3 linked regions of the Yarrowia lipolytica genome follow. The protein of the gene in region 2 interacts with the protein of the main gene of each other region in a pairwise test. Links are inferred from orthologs where the notes say so. Each region holds a gene or a part of one and is shown on either strand. Other genes may lie near its edges.

Region 1 (6,055 bases), on a different chromosome or scaffold from region 2:
GCTGGCCCTTACTTCTACCTCCCCAAGATGGAGTCCCACCTTGAGGCCCGACTCTGGAACGACGTCTTCAAGCTCTCTCAGGACTGGATCGGCATGCCCCGAGGAACCATCCGAGGTACCGTTCTGATCGAGACCATTCTCGCCGCCTTTGAGATGGACGAGATCATCTACGAGCTCCGAGAGCACTCCTCTGGTCTCAACTGTGGCCGATGGGATTACATCTTCTCCTTCATCAAGAAGTTCAAGAACCATCCCGAGTTTGTTCTCCCCGACCGAGGTGACGTTACCATGACCGTCCCTTACATGTCTGCTTACGTCAAGCTCCTCATCCAGACCTGCCACAAGCGAGGCGTCCACGCCATGGGCGGTATGGCTGCTCAGATCCCCATCAAGAACGATGCTGCTGCCAACAAGGTTGCCATGGAGGGTGTCTACAAGGACAAGCTCCGAGAGGTGACCGCCGGCCACGACGGTACCTGGGTTGCTCACCCCCAGCTTGCCATCATCGCCTCCGAGGTTTTCAACAAGCACATGCCCACTCCTAACCAGATCTACCGACGACGAGAGGATGTCCACATCACCGCTCGAGACCTCATCAACCCTTACATTGAGGGCGGCAAGATCACCGAGGAGGGTATCCGAAAGAACCTGTTCATCGGTCTTGGCTACATGGAGGCCTGGCTCCGTGGTCTTGGTTGTGTCCCCATCAACTACTTGATGGAGGATGCTGCCACCGCTGAGGTGTCTCGATCTCAGCTCCACCAGTGGGTCAAGCACGGTGTTACCACCGCCGAAGGCAAGAAGGTCACCAAGGACTACGCCGTCAAGCTTCTCAACGAGGAGACCGACAAGCTCATCAAGAACTCCAAGCCCGGCAACAAGTTTGCTGAGGCCGCCGCTTACTTCAAGCCCGAGATTGTTGGCGACAAGTACTCCGACTTCCTCACCACTCTCCTTTACGACCAGATCACCTCCGTTGGCAGCTCTTCCAAGCTCTAAGCGCGATGTGTTAAATTGTGAATATTTATCAATCAAATTGTTTATGAATTAAATGAACATATATATACATGTAGAGTTGATATGTTTTGTCATATGATTTAGCATCATGCCATGAGAGAATTGCTTTTGTGTGCCAGGCAGGCATGGCGTGTTTTCGAAAGTACAGTACTCGTATGGTCTATCATTATTCATTCAAATTAGTCTATATGCTACAAGTAGATCATCTAGTTAGTATCTCTTCATGTCGCTGGCCCAGGTCCAACGAACGTCTAAGTCAGCTCGCTCCAAATGTAAGGGAAGATGACGATGCAAGCGGTGACCAGAGAGGCGACAAATTGCAGTAGCGACGCGGGCAGCTTGGCAATGCCGTTGGCCTGCATGTTGCAGATTCCGCCGTAGATGGCCACTACGAAGAAATGCGTAAACAGGTACATGGGTCGGGGGAGAACTCCAGCCAACAGCATGACGGGGTGGTCCACACAGATGCCTCCCAGCTTGAAGTAGTTGAAGCATCCGAGCTGCAGGATTCGCAAGTAGTCCGAGTCGGCGGCGAAGAGCGAGTAGAGGGCCATGGAGAGAATGTTGACGATGGAGTCGAGGTGTTTTCGCTGCCAGTGGAACTGCGAGCTCATGACGGAGGACACGGCATAGGTGTCTTCCAGGTTAACGCCGGTGAGAAGTCTGCTGAGTAGAAGGGCATCATTGAGAGCAACGGTCATTCCTCCTCCGGTAAGTGGATGTCGCATGTTGAGTGCGTCACCCAGCAGAATCAAACCGTGGTGATCGTTCTTGGAGGCCGACAGGAAAGAGTTGGGCATGACTCGAATGGTCTGCTCCTTGAGAGCGGCTTGGAAAGACGGCTGGATGGACTTAGGCAGGTGGGGCATGACGTTCTTCTCCATGTGTTCCTTGAGGGCTCCGGTTGCATTAGAGGGGACGGGTCCCTGAATGTCACACAGAATTCGGGTCTCTCGAGCTCCAACCTGGTAGACAAGAACGGGACACGAGTTGGGCGACAGAATCACGTGGCCATGCTGGGGGGAGGGCAGAACAGCGTCCTTGAGAATCAGACCGGCGAAATGCGAACGCACAGACGTCTTGTTGGTGCTAAAGTCCTTTCGGAACTTGGAAAAAGTTCCATCACAGACGACGGTGAGAGGAGCAAAGAAGTGCTTGTAGATTTTGGCGCCTCCAGTTTTAGAGAAGGTCTTGACTCCAATAATGTGGCCGGTGTAAGGGTTCTTGACCACCTCGGTGACTGTGGCCTCCAGCAGAGTCACATTGGGTGTGTCTCGTGCGGCCCTTCGCAAGTTCATGACAAATCGGCCGTGGTGGAAGGATACTCCTCGGGGAGCCTCGTTGGAGATGTCGGCAGACTTTCCGCTTCTGTACAGCTCGTTGTAGTCCTGCTGGATGTCTCGGGGGACCTTGGGGTATTTGAGAACGCACTCTTCTCCAGAGTAGATCACGTTGTATCCCTGGCAGGGGATCGCGTCGATATCCTCGATACAAGAGCCGAGACCCAGAGTCTTGAGAGCAGCGACTCCTCCGGGCTGAAGCAGCTCTCCCACGATTCGGTCCGGTTCGGAGAGATCTCGTTCCACAACAAGAACCTTTCTGCCCTGATTTCCAAGAGCCACGGCCAGAGCGGGCCCGGCAATACCAGCTCCGACAATGACCACGTCGTACTCGTTGGTCTGGGTGGCGCTGGTCTCTGCTGCAGACTGTTGGGTGACCATTTTGTGTGAGTGTGAGTGTGGGCTGTTGTGTGATTAATTTATGTGAGCGTTGAGCGAGAGACTGGCGGTTTGTAAATGCGTCGGAACGAATGTGCGGGCGAGAGAGCGTGGGTATGTTGTTCTTATACCACCAAGTATCACCTGTTTACGCAGTCTGGAGAAGTGGTCCAACTCTGCAATCTGTTGCTGCTGGTGATATTTATCGTTCGATTCAAAAAAAGGGCGATGTTGATAAACTTTGTCCGTGGCTCTGATGCTGATGTGCTTGTGCTTGTGCTTGTGCTTTTGTTTTTAACGTGTTTGCTCCCCCAGAAGTGCAGGTCCGGTGGGCCCGAGTGGTGTCTGTGTAGGAGAAGAGAAGACCGGCGTTTCGGTTGTGTTTTTACGAGCGTTTTTGTCCCCCCTTTCCTGCTAGCTCTATATAAGTCGTGTTAGTATCTGGCATTGTTCTCGACCGCTATTACTCGTACAGCTAAGACCGATTTTTTTTTATTCTCCCCCCCCCTGGCACACATTTTGGGTTTAGACACTTTGACTTGTCTCGTCGTTAACGGTCGCATATCCTCGCGTGGCTCGTTCACTAGTTGTTTGGGTAACACCTTGCCCTGGACTGGGCCAAAAGCGCGTCTAGCGAGCGCTAAATTGCATCTGCAGGTGAGACGGCCATCACAAGCCGCACTGACACACATCCACGTGTCGCTGAGGCTCGCGCGACGTTCCATCGTGCCATGTTGCAATATCACATGTAACTGTGGATACACGTCTGTTATGCCACATTTCTCCGCTCGCAGATTTTTCAACCAGAAATGAACACACGCTCCAACTTTAAATGGTTGGGCATCTGAGGGCTGAGACAAGGGAGAAAGAGAAGAAAGAAAGTAAAAGAAATAAAATAAAAATAAAATAAAATAAAATAAATAAAATAAATAAAAAATAAATAAAAAATAAAAAAAAATAAAATAAAATAAAATAAAATAAAATAAAATAAATAAAATAAATAAAAAAAATAAAATAAAATAAAATATAAAAAAAATAAAATAAAATAAATAAAAAATAAAATAAAATAAAATAAAATAAAATAAAATAAAATAAAAAAAATAAATAAATAAAAAAAAACCGTTCACATGAATGATATATATTAATTCAACGAACGTGATATCTGGCTGTCCTTTATATATATATATTATATTTTAGTATTCTCTCGATTCATCACATCTATATATACATGAAGCCGGGTTGTTGGCGTTAATCATACACTTGATAATCTCGATATGCGTTTCGAGGCGCAAGTCTTTGGTTCATCGTCCTGGTCTCGAGTTAGTTAGTCATAAATCGTATCAATCGTGTTTTTTCTTCTCTTTTTTATATATGTTTTTTATATATTTATTCTGGGTCTCCTGTCTTCTCCAAACTCCTTGGTTTAGTTTGATCTCGAAGGGACCGTAGAAGGTGTCATTAGCATGGGAAAGATTCGTGTGTATCTTGATTGAGTGGTAGTGGAATCGGGGAGTAGGAGTATTGGGGTGTTGTGTTGGTTTTTTATGTTTTATTTTTATGTTTTATTTTATTTTATTTTATTTTTATTTTATGTTTTAAAATAAAATATATATATTTTTCCCCCAATATTCCATTTTCATTAATCAGTCGTCAGCGAGTTTATTCAGCGCGAGCAGTTTCCACAGATACGCAATGTGTACCAGCCATTGCAATAATCCTCCTACTTGTAGAGTGAAATCACCTCGGCGCTCATTCGCCGCTGCGCATCCACCTCAGCCATGACGACGATATGCTGCAGAAACTCGGTTGAACAAGCGAGCCAGTCTCGCTGGACCAAGGGGTCACTACAAGATAGGCCAGTTTTTCGCATGGCTCGCTCTAATGTAGTTCAGCGGGCCGTCCTTGGCCTCCAGTAAGATCCAACAAGATTCAGCCGCCATTTTAGATGGAAGGGACGTCAATCTTTTGGCAGAAGGCCTTGCATGTGCTGAAGGAAGTCATACCCGGTAGTGTAATACCTGGCTAATTCCTCACATAATGGTGAGATGTCACCACATAGTGATGAGAGAAATCAGCTGGGTCGTAGACGACGAGATGTCCATCCTGTAGATAGTTTTATCCACTGATCTAGTCTTTTCTGGCGAATGAGCAAGCACACACCAGAAGGGTGTGTGCTACTATCGGAGTGGGTTGTAAGTTGTTAACTATATCACATCAATAATACTTATGATCTTCAATTAGGATGTTGGACAATTGACCATAAAAGATGCTCGTGGAAAATAAAAATAAAATAAATAATAATATATATATATAAATAACCCTAGGGAAATACGTGATCTGCAGTCATCATCGGATCCTCAAGTGAATAGCCGCTGCACAATCCACAGCCTTACGAAGTTCGATTCCCTCCTGCACTTAACGGCCAAACCACACGGAATAGGGAGTAACAGCGGGGCGAGAATACCGAAAGAAAGGAAAAGAAAGACAAAAAAGGAAAGAAAGACCAAAAGGAACCCTTCCGCATTCATACAACTTGCCGATTCATTGAATCGAGCATGTACGTACTCCCCGATAAGCGATACAGCAGTTGACTCTAGATACACTTGCGGGGACATCATACTCTGTACAGACTTGACAAGTGATCAGGATCAGACTTGACAAGTGATCAGGACCTTATCCAGCAAACGACATGAACCGCAATTGCCACACAATATTCCGGTACAAGTGTTCGCACTCGAACTGTGCGCCTCAAGCTAGTTTTCCGGGTGGCGCCAGCCACATTTGCCCTCTATCTCCATGCAGGTTCGAGCATTTTTGAAGCGTGTGTGAGATGGCTATTTAATTAACCCACTCCCAACCCAGAGAACATCAGATAACACAACCTCACACGTCCACACGTCCACACAAAAAAATGGACCACTCTCACCACATGATGGACCACAGTGGCCACGACATGCCCATGCCCGATATGCCCGGCCACGGCGACATGCCCGAAATGTGCAGCATGAACATGATCTTCAACTGGGACACAAAGGGCATGTGCGTGGTGTTCCCCTGGTGGCACGTCAAGACCCATGTGGGCATGATTCTGACCGTCATCGCCGTGGTCTTCATCTCCGCAGGATACGAATACGTGCGAAAGCTGTCGCGGGACATTGATGCCGCCTTCAAGGGCTCCGGTGAGTACTCCTTTTGATGATTTCCTTTTGATGATTTCCTTTGATGATTTCCTTGGATGGTTTTCTTTTTCTTCTTTTCGTCATGTTCCTTTGGACAATACTTATACAGACTGTGATCTGGAACCGATTATTAATCCAGAC
Region 2 (5,581 bases):
AATATCGTGTCGCTTCTGATCGAGTTGGCAGATTCTCTGGCGGACTCGGTCACTGAAGACGTGTGTAAAACACAGACTTTTGCGCTGTCTTCGGGTCTGCAGCGACTGGTGGAGGCGTCTGTGCGTGAGCCCCATCCCCCGGGACTCGCAGAGGGCATTTCCATGTTCCTTAAGATTGCCATGATCCACGAAAAGTCGCTCATGGCCTCGGAGGACGCCGAGGTGACCATGTTGCGCAACCATGTGGTTGAGGGGCTGCAGGCGTTGTTGGATTCACCGTTTGTGGCCACCACGCCGGACCTCAAGGCCACGCTGCAGGACACGTGGACAGCTCTCAAGAGCGAGCTTTCCGAAGTGGCTGAGCCTGCCAATTCGGCCCCCTCAAAGGCTGGGCCTACAAGAGACCTGTTGCTGTACAGCACGGCCAACGACGCCTTTTCCGAGGTGACCGTGCGGTCATTTGACTTGTTGGAGGAAAGTAACCCCACCATGGGGGTCAATGACGCCGCTTTGAACCTGGCACTGTTTAACGCGACAATTGAAAAGCGCATGTAATTATTTATATATTTATAGACTGACGAGTGCGAGGGGCTGCGACTGGCCAAGGCCATGGCAGCGGTAGGTCCTCCGCGGAGCGCCTGGAGCGAGTTGAGTGTAGACACGATGCGGGTACAGTGGTCTTTACAGACCCATAGCATGGAACAATGGACATAAACGACAGTTGGTAGATGGAGGGAGAGGTGGTAGAAAGACTGCCAGAGGCACTGACAGCTCTTTGGTCCCTACGATACTTGAGGGTATTCCACGGTGTATGGACGAGTACAGTAACCACTGGTAACTGGGATTCTGTGAGACGATATCGGTGTATGCTATATCTCTTCTGTCCTTCGTCTTGATTCTTTCTCTTCATGTTGATCTAGCCCTAGATCCATCATAAACAGCTGTATTGCCACTGACCAGGAGGATCACACGAGCATGTAGATGTGTTTTGGAAAAAGAAACACCGATGTAACGCCATCACTCTCCTGATATACATTGTACCACAAGTGTGTAGGTACTGTTGGTCTAGTCATGAGACACTCTCGTATATATGCGAATTATGTAAGACCTACTTAAACAATAATAATCATAATAATAAATCCATAATAATAATATATTATTATATTTAGTACAGTAAAGGTAATGCTGGCTACTGTTGAAATCATGTAGTCCGGCTCTTGTAACCTCCCTTCAATCAACCACATGTCTCCTATTCCACCATCACAACATGTTCACCAAGTTGGGTCACTTCGGCAAAGTTTCACATTACTTCTTTTGGGCTTCCTCACCCTTCCTTTCTTTGTCTCTTTCCCCAAAGGGAATTGTTTTTCTGCTTCTATTTATACACGATGAGGGCATCTGAAGTACATGATCTGAGAGCTAATCGAGCGTCGAGCTTCGAGCGTAGAGCTTCTAGCGTAGAGCTTCTAGCGTAGAGCTTCGAGCGTAGCGCTTTGGGCGCTTCGTCGTAAGGAGAAATGTATCATATTAAATAACTTATGTATATACTGGGGTCAGTTTTGGATCGGGATTGGGTATCGCGACCGTAGTGAGTGGCCGGGGTCGCTTACTGCTGCTTCTTGGCCTTCTTAGCAGCCTTGGCGGCAAGTCGCTGCTGTCGCTCGGCCTTGGCGGCGGGACCGGCCTCGGTGTCGAGCACAAAGTCCCACCATCGGAACGACGAGGCGTAGTTGCCGGTGAAGTATCGATGGTGGTCATCGTGGTGGTCGGCACCGGCCCAGATGGGCAAGAAGTGATGCAGAGACACGGGGAACTCATAGCCAGAATGGGCGTCGATGGCCTGGAAGAGTCGCAGGGCGATCCACACAGACACGGTGAAGAGATGGAGATCACCGGTTAGCATGACCCAGGCAATGGGGATGCCCACAGTTCCGACACCAAGCAAAGCCACCTCAACGGGGTGAGCGTACTCGGCAGTCAAACCAAAGGGAGCGGCGTATCGGTGGTGCTGCTTGTGGATGTGCTTGTAGAAGGGACCGTAGTGAAGGCCTCGGTGCAGCCAGTAGTGCCAGGTATCCTCCAGCACAAAAAATAGGGCGAGATGGGCACAGATCTTCATCCAGGAGGGGAAGGGCACGTCGATGGAAATTCCGGCGTACTTGCAGACGGGGTAGAAGCCCCAGATGGGGATGGCCTCGACCATAAAGTGCGAGATGAGCACGGACTTCATGCACTCCCACTGCTCGGCCACAGAGGGCACCTTGGCCTCGCCCTGGATCTTCCACTTGTGAAAGTAGGGGATCTGGTCGAGGATCATCCAGGGCACGCACCGGCCAAAGTAGAGAATCTCGTGCAGCAGGAAAATGAAGATGCCGCAAGCAATGAGATCATTGCCCCACCACACAAAGTATGATGCCCACACCCGCTCGACAATGTTGAGGGTGTCGGCGTGGGCGTCGGACAGCTTGGCGTAGGTGCCGATGTAGGAGGCCGCGGGGGTGACGGTGGAGTTGATGCTCTCGAGAATCGAAGACATGGTGTGTCGAGGTGAGATATGGGACTCCAAAGGGTGGGATGGGAGGGCCTATAAAACACGAAAAGTATTAGCCTTTGCTCCTAACCCTGTCGTTTGCGTCGTATCCCGGGGGGGTTGCAAGATGTGTAAACTGGGATATTTGGGGGGTAAAGGGCACCAACATGATGGCACTGACACGGTGAGTGTGACTGTGTGGTTTTTTTCCGTGTATTCGTGTGGAAATGGTCCCCAACGACCCCCGCAAGCAATCATCTGATAACCCAAACGGGCTAAACATGCTGAACCTTCTGCATCCAAACTCAACATGTGAACACGTCAGGGGCGTCGCGACGGCACATCTGATTAGGGCCCTGGACGTGTTTTAGGGGGCCGTGGGTCTCGGATTTGTGCTCGCAATCTGTTCTTCTGTCTGCTTCTGACGTACTCATAACCTCGCCGGTCGAAACCGCCGTCCGGAACGTGGTCTAGAGTAGCATGTCCGCGATCCGCCATCGACTCGGCTAGATTAGCTTTTTGGTTTGGTAAAATGGGTTGAAAAATCAACATCAGCCTACTGATCCAACTCCCAAGTCGTATATGTCGTTTAACGGCCTTTTTCAGAAAAAATGCTGATAGGGTTTGGATATACGATGGGAGCGACGTGGGGGGCATCAGCTCAGCTGGAACGGCCCAGCGCCATGTGGGGCGATTCGGCGGCGACCGTGGTCCGATATATTGGTCCGATATATTGATGGTTTGGTCTCCTTGTTGCCTTGGGTTGGCCCCGGGTTGACTCAACAGGCCAACAAGTGTGTCCAAGCGTTACTGTAAAGTCGGGTTGTTGTTTACAAGGTCACATGACCTGCACCACTTACACTGCCCAACTTGCTTACATATAGTCTCGGAAGCACAGGTGGTGTGATGAAGAGGCCGTGCCCTGGATAGGAACATGGCATCATTGCTGGGTATGGATGAGGCTGCAAGTACGACGAGTACGAGTCGGGTGCCGGACCGGTGCTCGTCGTGGAACGTCATAGGTATGGTCAGCTAAGGTGTGGCGCAGTACAGCAATACAAGTGTGACTGCCATTTTTTATACTCACACCACTCAGGCGATTAGCCGAAGTACGATACAAGTAAACAATGGCACAACGGATAACGGCGTGGATAACGGTGGTTATTAGTTACAAGTACGAGTATGTACAGTACATACAATAGGTTTAACCAACTAGACGGTAAGCGATGGTGCGACCAACAGCGGAACAGGAGAGATACAAGTTCGTGTACCGTAGTCGTATGCACTGTACGAATAGGATGTTGGACTGTTTTCGTCAACATCAACAGCGACGGTTCTTTTTTATCACTTCTGGGAATAGGCTGATACGAGAGTACAGCATACGTACATATAAGACAGTGCGAGTGGTGCTGTATCGTACATTCGACAGTAAGATCAATGGTTTTTTTTTTTTTTTTTTATTTATTTATTTGATTTTTTTTTTTGATTTTTATTTGATTTTTATTTGGATTTTTAATTTGATTTATTTATTTATTTATTTTTTAATTATGATTTTGATTAAAATTTTCATAGATCGTCGATCAAACCTCGTCAAAAGTCTGCCACTTTCGGCCAAAATTGTCCGATTATTTTACCACAGCACAACTACAAAAAGTCGACGTTCTGTAAGGAAAAAGATTTTGCCATACGAATCAAATCAGCGTGAAATGTCCAATCAAATGATACAACTTCTGCAACCACTCTTCATGGTAAGACGCAATATTCATCACAACATTGGAGCGCATTGAATGTTCAAGACTATGGACTACTGTAGTATGTACCTTTACAGTGAGTATCATCGGCAGCTCTATGGACACCACGTCTCTTACTTGAAACTGTTCTTCTACATACTCGATACTGGCATCGTCCATCAAAACCAGGATTATGTTTGCTGCGACACGGGTCGGTCACAAGGTCCAAATAAATATTACTCAGCAATTCCTCCCGTTTTTCCATTTTTTTCCCAACGTATTCGCCCCTCCAGAGACAATCTGATAACCCACACACAAGCCTCACTTTTTGCGTCTTATTTTGGCCACCTTACCAGCCACCTTAGCCCTGTGTATTCGCCATGATTAAACAGGTTGTGGGAATGTTCCACTCTCGGGATCACGTGACTTGGTCACGACCCAGCCAATCAGACGCGCTTCAAAGGTCAGCATATCTGTGCACCTCTCAGATCATCACGTGATTCACCCTCCTCGTCAGCCAATCAAATCCCCAGCAAAGGTCAGCGAGACACGCCACTGATGGGTCACGTGCGTTATGGGACCAACCGGCCAATCACAGTGCCGGAAAAGGTCAGCGGGGGCGTAAGGTTAGCGAGAAGTCTAAAACATGTATACGAGCATGACATGGTGTGGCTAGTATAAAGACCTCTCCACACGCTCGATAGTTTCAGTATCAAGCCTCCAAGCTACACATCTGACACGAACAACCAATCGACCAACCAACCAACCAACCAACACAAACATCTATTAAAATGGCCGCCTCTACCTGCTGCAAGAAGTCCAACTCCTGTGTCTGTGCTATCGAAGCCACCTGCTCTTGTGGTAAGATGCCCGCTCAGCACTGCGACTGCTCCAAGGCTGCCGTCGAGAACGTCAAGCCCACTGACGCCTGCTCCTGCGGCATGCGACAGGCCTCTCAGTGCACCTGCTCCCGAAAGAACGAGGAGAACGCCGGTCTGATGGAGGGCGAGGTTGACTTCACCAACCTGAAATAAGCATCTTGTTTTGGACCCAAACTACAAAACCCCATCATATTTCCTGAGCTTTTCCCCAGAGACCTATTTATTCATAACATAATTGAGCTGCATTATTCACAACAGTAATCACTGTACCCGTAAATTGAGCGGCCAGCGACCGTTGACTATTAATTCATTTAATTGCATTTAATTGCAGTAAACCACATAAAATATGCATCCAACATGCACAAGCCACCTGCGAGGACATTATGGAGAGCTTATTTTGGAAATGGCAGAAACAGCAAAATAATGAAAAAAAGAGCACA
Region 3 (5,452 bases), on a different chromosome or scaffold from region 2:
AAGGGCTACGAGCTGCCTGTCAAGCGGGCCTACGAGCAGCTGGTCGACCAGCTCGGCTACCCCGAGGACCAGGTCTCGTACGTCTACTTTGACTTCCACCACGAGTGCTCCAAGATGCGATGGCACCGTGTCCTGTTGCTGATTGAGCGGCTGCAGGAGCTGGGTCTCGACCAGCAGGGCTACTTTGAGGCTACCCTCATGCCCAACCGTCAGCTGCAGCCCCAGGCTAACCAGACCTCCGTCGTGCGAACCAACTGCATGGACTGCCTGGACCGAACTAACGTGGTCCAGTCCACCTTGGGCCGATGGGTGCTGCAGAAGCAGTTTGAGGCTGCCGGAATTCTGGCCCCCGGCCAGAAGTGGGAGACTACTGAGCCCAAGTTCGAGCTCATCTTCCGAAACGTGTGGGCCGACAACGCCAATGCAGTGTCCGTCACTTATTCTGGAACCGGTGCTCTCAAGACTGATTTCACCCGTCTGGGCAAGCGAACCAAACAGGGCGCTCTCAACGACGGTCTCAACTCCGCCACCCGATACATCAAGAACAACTTCCAGGACGGCATTCGTCAGGACTCTTTCGACCTGTTCCTGGGCAACTACGTGCCCTACTCGGGCCGACCTGCCCGCTTCTACGACGTGCGCCCCATTCTGTTCCAGGCCGTGCCCTACATGGTTCTGTCTGCCGTGGTGCTCATTCTCTGTGCCACCTTCTTCCCCCGACAGGATCTGTCTGCTCTGGTGAGCCGATCATTTGTGGGCTTCTGGGTGCTGGTACTGGTGTGGTCGGTGCGATACATGACCAAGAACGGTCTGCAGTTTGTCAACTGGCCCAAGCTCATCAAGCCCGACTTTGTGTCTGAAAACGAGATTGTCAACAACGGCAAGGTCTCTGGTATTGTCTACAAGGTGGGAGACAGCGACCGGGTCAACAAGCTGGATTAGAGAACGGCTAGATATATATCATGTTAACGAATCGAATAAAAGACATCATTGAATACTGCGGGAGAAGTGCAGTAGGTATGTTAAGCCATGGTTATACTACTTATTCGCTCTATGGGCGTGTCTGTAGCGCAATCATTCTATCACATCCCTTCTCTATTACTGTCTATAATATATAATACATAAATACAATCCCCTTGGCGGTTGCAGCTCGTTGGAGCTGTCTTTTGATGCTCACAGGTGAGTTGTTGTAGTGTCTCATGGGCCCTGTGAGTCAGCCAGAGCTGTTCTGCAACTCTCTGCTGTAGTCATGGTGGTTGGCACTCTTTTCACTCCACCTTGAAATTCACTTCTCGATCTCCATAAACACCAATGATATAGGCCACTCGAGTGACCACCAAATCGATGGCCATCTTGATACTGTCAGCAGCGAGATCGATTTTCGAGCCCTCCACCTCGTGCCACGAAATGGGAATCTCGGCAATGGCCAGACCTTTTCTCTGGGCCAGCATGAGCACCTCGACGTCGAAAATCCAGCCCTCGGTGTGCATGTAAGGGAAGATGTTTTCGGTGGCTCGTCGAGAAAAGAGCTTGAAGCCGCACTGAGTGTCTCTGATGGTCCGCACTCCAAATGTCCACACCAGCAGATGCAGGCCTCTCATGAGAAAGTTGCGGATGAAGGACCGCTTGACCACGGCATCCGTGCCGACCATGTGTGCTCTGGAGCCGATAGCCACTCCGTCGTTGACCTTGACAGCCTCTAGAAGTCGCGGCATGTCCTTGAAGTCCGAGGCTCCGTCGGCGTCGGCAAAGAGCACGTACTTGCCTCGCGAGAAGCGCATTCCGTGGGCCACCGCTCCTCCCTTACCTCGGTTTTTGGCCAGTCGGGTGACCCTCAAAGAGCCGGGTTTCATGTGTTGAGATGCCCACTCGAGCGCAAACTCGGGGGTCTTGTCGCGCGAGCCGTCGTCGACGATGATCACCTCGTAGGGCTGCTTGAGAGCGTCCAGCACTGGCACCGCGTCTTCCAGCATGACTCCCAGTCGCTTCGTTTCGTTGTAGCAGGGCACTACCACCGAAATGAACACGTAGTCGTCGTCGTCGTCGGCGTCGGTGTCTTTGCGTCCGTGTGCCTGCTTCTCCAGAGCCACAAGCGGCTGTTTGGGCGACACCGATCCGTCGGCCACGGTGGTTTCAAAGAACTGCTCGTGTTTGTGCACCGGTCGAGGCTTGTGCGAAAAGGCAAACACGGCGGCGTACACCGCGAGAATGAGCGCCACGAGCGCAGCCACCACGTAGAACATGTTGGCGTGTGGGTGGTGGTGGTGGTAGTGGTGAAGATGGTAAGACAACGGAGATGAGGTTACGTGGGCCCTGTAGGCAGAGTACAGTAGAGTTTCGGTAGAGCCTACTTTGAGTTGAGCACTTGTTGGCGAAGCAGGTGTGCCTGTAGGCTTTAGGGGCCTTTTTGGAGGTGATTAAAATAGCTGAGGTGATTGTATCGCCATTTTTGTACAAATTTCTCTTTTCATAATTTCATTTTGAGCATTATTCGTCAAGTTGAAAGGTGACCAAGTTGGAGTATATATATATTACACCAATATTAAACTCAGCCCTCGACAGAGCCGATTGGGTGACAACAGGATGATTTATGGACATAAATAGATGATTTGAGACAGTTATTTTTGACAGATGAATACTGAACTGATTCTGGAGTATCACCGATATCTCAATTATAATTTCCACATTTCAGAAACACGTATTTCACCAGTTTGGGCGTGTGTTATTTTTGGACATTAAACTTGCGCAGCTTTTGGAGACGGCTGAATAGGGGGCGCTGTTGTAGCCGTTGCAAGTGACGAATTTGAGAGCCGGTTTTTACAAATGAACTGAAAACACGTTTCTCGAGGCTATTTTAGAAAAATCTGCGTTGTTTTTCCACCGCAACAACACCACAAACACATGTTTACCATTCGCCTATGTCCATTTGTCTACATAAATTTGAGTTTGGCAAGGCAGAGTTGTGGTTCATTTGGGACGCAGATTTGAAAGCGATTCAGGGGCACTATCACTCTGAAAAGTTGGCATAATAGCCCAAATTTTCCGTTTCAGTTGATTTTCGTTTTCTTCTTCTGTTTATCTCTCTTCAATCCCGCTCTATACACTGTTTATGCCCCTGTGTAAAGTTCGGTTCCGGGAATTTTGTGTTTTTCACTTGAGTGATTAGCCGTTCGTCAACATCCACAACAGTAGTCTGAATGGCTCCATTGGATGAACATGAGCGGTTGTTGTTGCTATTTTGAGGTTTTTGACTCGATAAAAAACAACACTGTCAAATCGACCCGCTCATAAGCTGTGTTTTACTGCTCTTGTCCCCATCCAGCAACCGGGCCCCGCCACGTCTGCAGATCTGATAATCCATGGCCTGTTTGGGTGAGTGGTAGTACAGCGCAGATTCAGTTTGGGTCTTGGGTTTTCACCACGTGCTCGTGACGCGCCAATTTTCTTGCTAGCGTCATTTTGGCGAAAATCTGCGAAATTTTGGCAAAATTCAGGGCACTGGTCCTACACGTACAGGTAGCGGTGTTTTTAGTGTCTTGTCAACGTCTGGAACCATCCGTGGAGTCGGATGCACAATAAATAGTGCAGTTTTACGACCCGTGGTGGAGTATTTTGCTAGTATTTTTGGTAGTATTCCCAAGTAGTTTATTGAGGTATTTGTTAAGTTAAAAATTACTCGAGGTTACTCTATAATGTGAAAAACTATCTTGAAAAATTTGTGATCTGACCATTTCTCGGCACTTGTGATTGGCCGATGACGCTTTTTTGAGACATTTGAAAAGGTCGCTTGCTCAGCTTCATTTTGACACCACAATTGACACCACAAATCTGCCCCCCCCCCCCCCACCCCCATTTTTGTACTACCTACAAATGAATGCTGAACCGCTCTTCCGATCTAACTTTTTAGAATGTTAAACAATAACGGCCATGATGGCGATGGCGCCAAACACGACGGAGGCAACCACCTTCTCGGCAGCCAGCGAGGCGCCGGCGCTCTTCTTGTTTCCGCCCTTGGAGGACGAGGCGGCGGCCGAGCCAGAGGCAGCGGCAGCAGCAGAGCCCTTAGCAGAGCCCGAGCCAGAGCCCGAGGATCCGGACGATCCAGAGCCCGAAGATCCAGAGCCGGACGAGCCGGAAGAGCCGGACGAGCCGGAAGAGACAGCAGTGGCCTGGGCGTTCTGGCAGTTGGATCCGGTCTTGGGGCTCTGGACAATGGAGGCCTGGGAAGAAAAGTCGCAGGCCTGAGAGTTGCCGTTCTGGGAGTCGTAGTACTTGCCCATGAGGAAGTTGAGCTTCTGCTTGGCGTCACAGAAGGACAGGTCTCCGTACTTGCCGGAGGTTCCGTTGGACTGGATCTCGGAGCAGTCCACATCGAGGTTACCGCACAGCTCTCCAAAGAGATCGCCGTAGTTCTTGGCGTTAGTGTCCGAGTTGACGACACAAGAAGAGCCATCGTTGATGCACTGACAGGTTCCGACCTTGGGGGTGGGAGGCAGGGTGGGAGAGCCTTTCCAGTTGGCGTTGAAGTCGGGGCACGAGACGCCACCAGCGGTCTGAGAGGGCTTGTAGTCGTTGGTGTTGGCGGAGGAAGGAGAAATCTTAGCCATCTGCGAAGACAGGTTGTTGAAGTCGTCGAGAGTGGAGACGGAGCTTCCGGAAACAGACACCAGACCGTACTGGTTCTGCTCCTCAAAGTACATGTAGACGATTCCTCCGGACCAGACGTCGGTCATGTTGGGGCCAAACAGAACGGGCACGTCGGAGAACTGTCGCGGCTTGACTCGGTTGCAGCCGTACTCGGAGAAGAAGATGGGGATGGTGAAGTTCTTGTACTCCTCGGTTCGCTGCTGGTAACCGGAGGACTCAAAGGTGGCGTCTCCACACCACTCGTAGATGTTGATTCCGTAGAAATCGGCTGCCTCGGAGGCGTTGCCGCACTGGAAATAGGTGGCCAGGTCGTCTCGGGTCTTCTCGTCATCGTTGGTGGCGTATCCGACGGGAATGGATCGGTACGACTTCTCCTTCATGTACGACTTCATGTCTCGGATGGCAGCCTTGACGTAGGGAGACGCATCGGTGTTGGTGTTGTTGTTAGTGACCTCGTTTCCGGCAAAGAAACCCAGCATGTTGGGGTACTTTTGCATGGTGTCCACTACGCTGGTGTATCGCTGGTACAGATCCACGTCCCACGAGGGCGAGTTTCGGTTGATGGACTCGCCGGGCTGTGAGAGATCGGAAATGACGTAGATGCCGGCGTCGTTGAAGAGCTGCATGCATGTGTCGTGGTCCTTGGTGGTGTCGATGGCGTACACTCGAAGCACGTTGGTCTTGAGCTGCACCAGGTAGGGCAGGTCTCGCTTACAGGCGTCGCCGTCCGACAGAGGGTCCGAAAAGGTCTCCTTGGCTGTCTCGTTGGCCGAGTCCTGCTGGTAGGCCACTCCTCGGATGTAGA

The links.
Region 1: the proteins of YALI1_F14958g (region 2) and YALI1_E18961g interact in a protein complementation assay, tested with the Saccharomyces cerevisiae proteins (2 studies listed by BioGRID). The link is inferred for Yarrowia lipolytica from reciprocal best matches to the Saccharomyces cerevisiae genes ERG25 and ERG1.
Region 3: the proteins of YALI1_F14958g (region 2) and YALI1_D07696g interact in a protein complementation assay, tested with the Saccharomyces cerevisiae proteins (2 studies listed by BioGRID). The link is inferred for Yarrowia lipolytica from reciprocal best matches to the Saccharomyces cerevisiae genes ERG25 and ALG5.

What each region holds. Positions count from the first base shown.
Region 1 is NC_090774.1:1,893,418-1,899,472, forward strand, and holds YALI1_E18961g (uncharacterized protein), read right to left. Parts: upstream 2,739-6,055; coding exon 1,269-2,738; downstream 1-1,268. Other genes in the region: YALI1_E18927g (uncharacterized protein), read left to right, coding at 1-999; YALI1_E18990g (uncharacterized protein), read left to right, coding at 5,647-5,914, 6,054-6,055. UniProt on the Saccharomyces cerevisiae protein: Squalene epoxidase; part of the third module of ergosterol biosynthesis pathway that includes the late steps of the pathway. ERG1 catalyzes the epoxidation of squalene into 2,3-epoxysqualene.
Region 2 is NC_090775.1:1,492,827-1,498,407, reverse strand, and holds YALI1_F14958g (uncharacterized protein), read right to left. Parts: upstream 2,537-5,581; coding exon 1,607-2,536; downstream 1-1,606. Other genes in the region: YALI1_F15017g (uncharacterized protein), read left to right, coding at 1-555; YALI1_F14946g (uncharacterized protein), read left to right, coding at 3,757-4,317; YALI1_F14933g (uncharacterized protein), read left to right, coding at 5,052-5,294.
Region 3 is NC_090773.1:767,397-772,848, forward strand, and holds YALI1_D07696g (uncharacterized protein), read right to left. Parts: upstream 2,244-5,452; coding exon 1,269-2,243; downstream 1-1,268. Other genes in the region: YALI1_D07665g (uncharacterized protein), read left to right, coding at 1-942; YALI1_D07729g (uncharacterized protein), read right to left, coding at 3,912-5,452. UniProt on the Saccharomyces cerevisiae protein: Endoplasmic reticulum membrane-bound UDP-glucose:dolichyl-phosphate glucosyltransferase involved in protein N-linked glycosylation.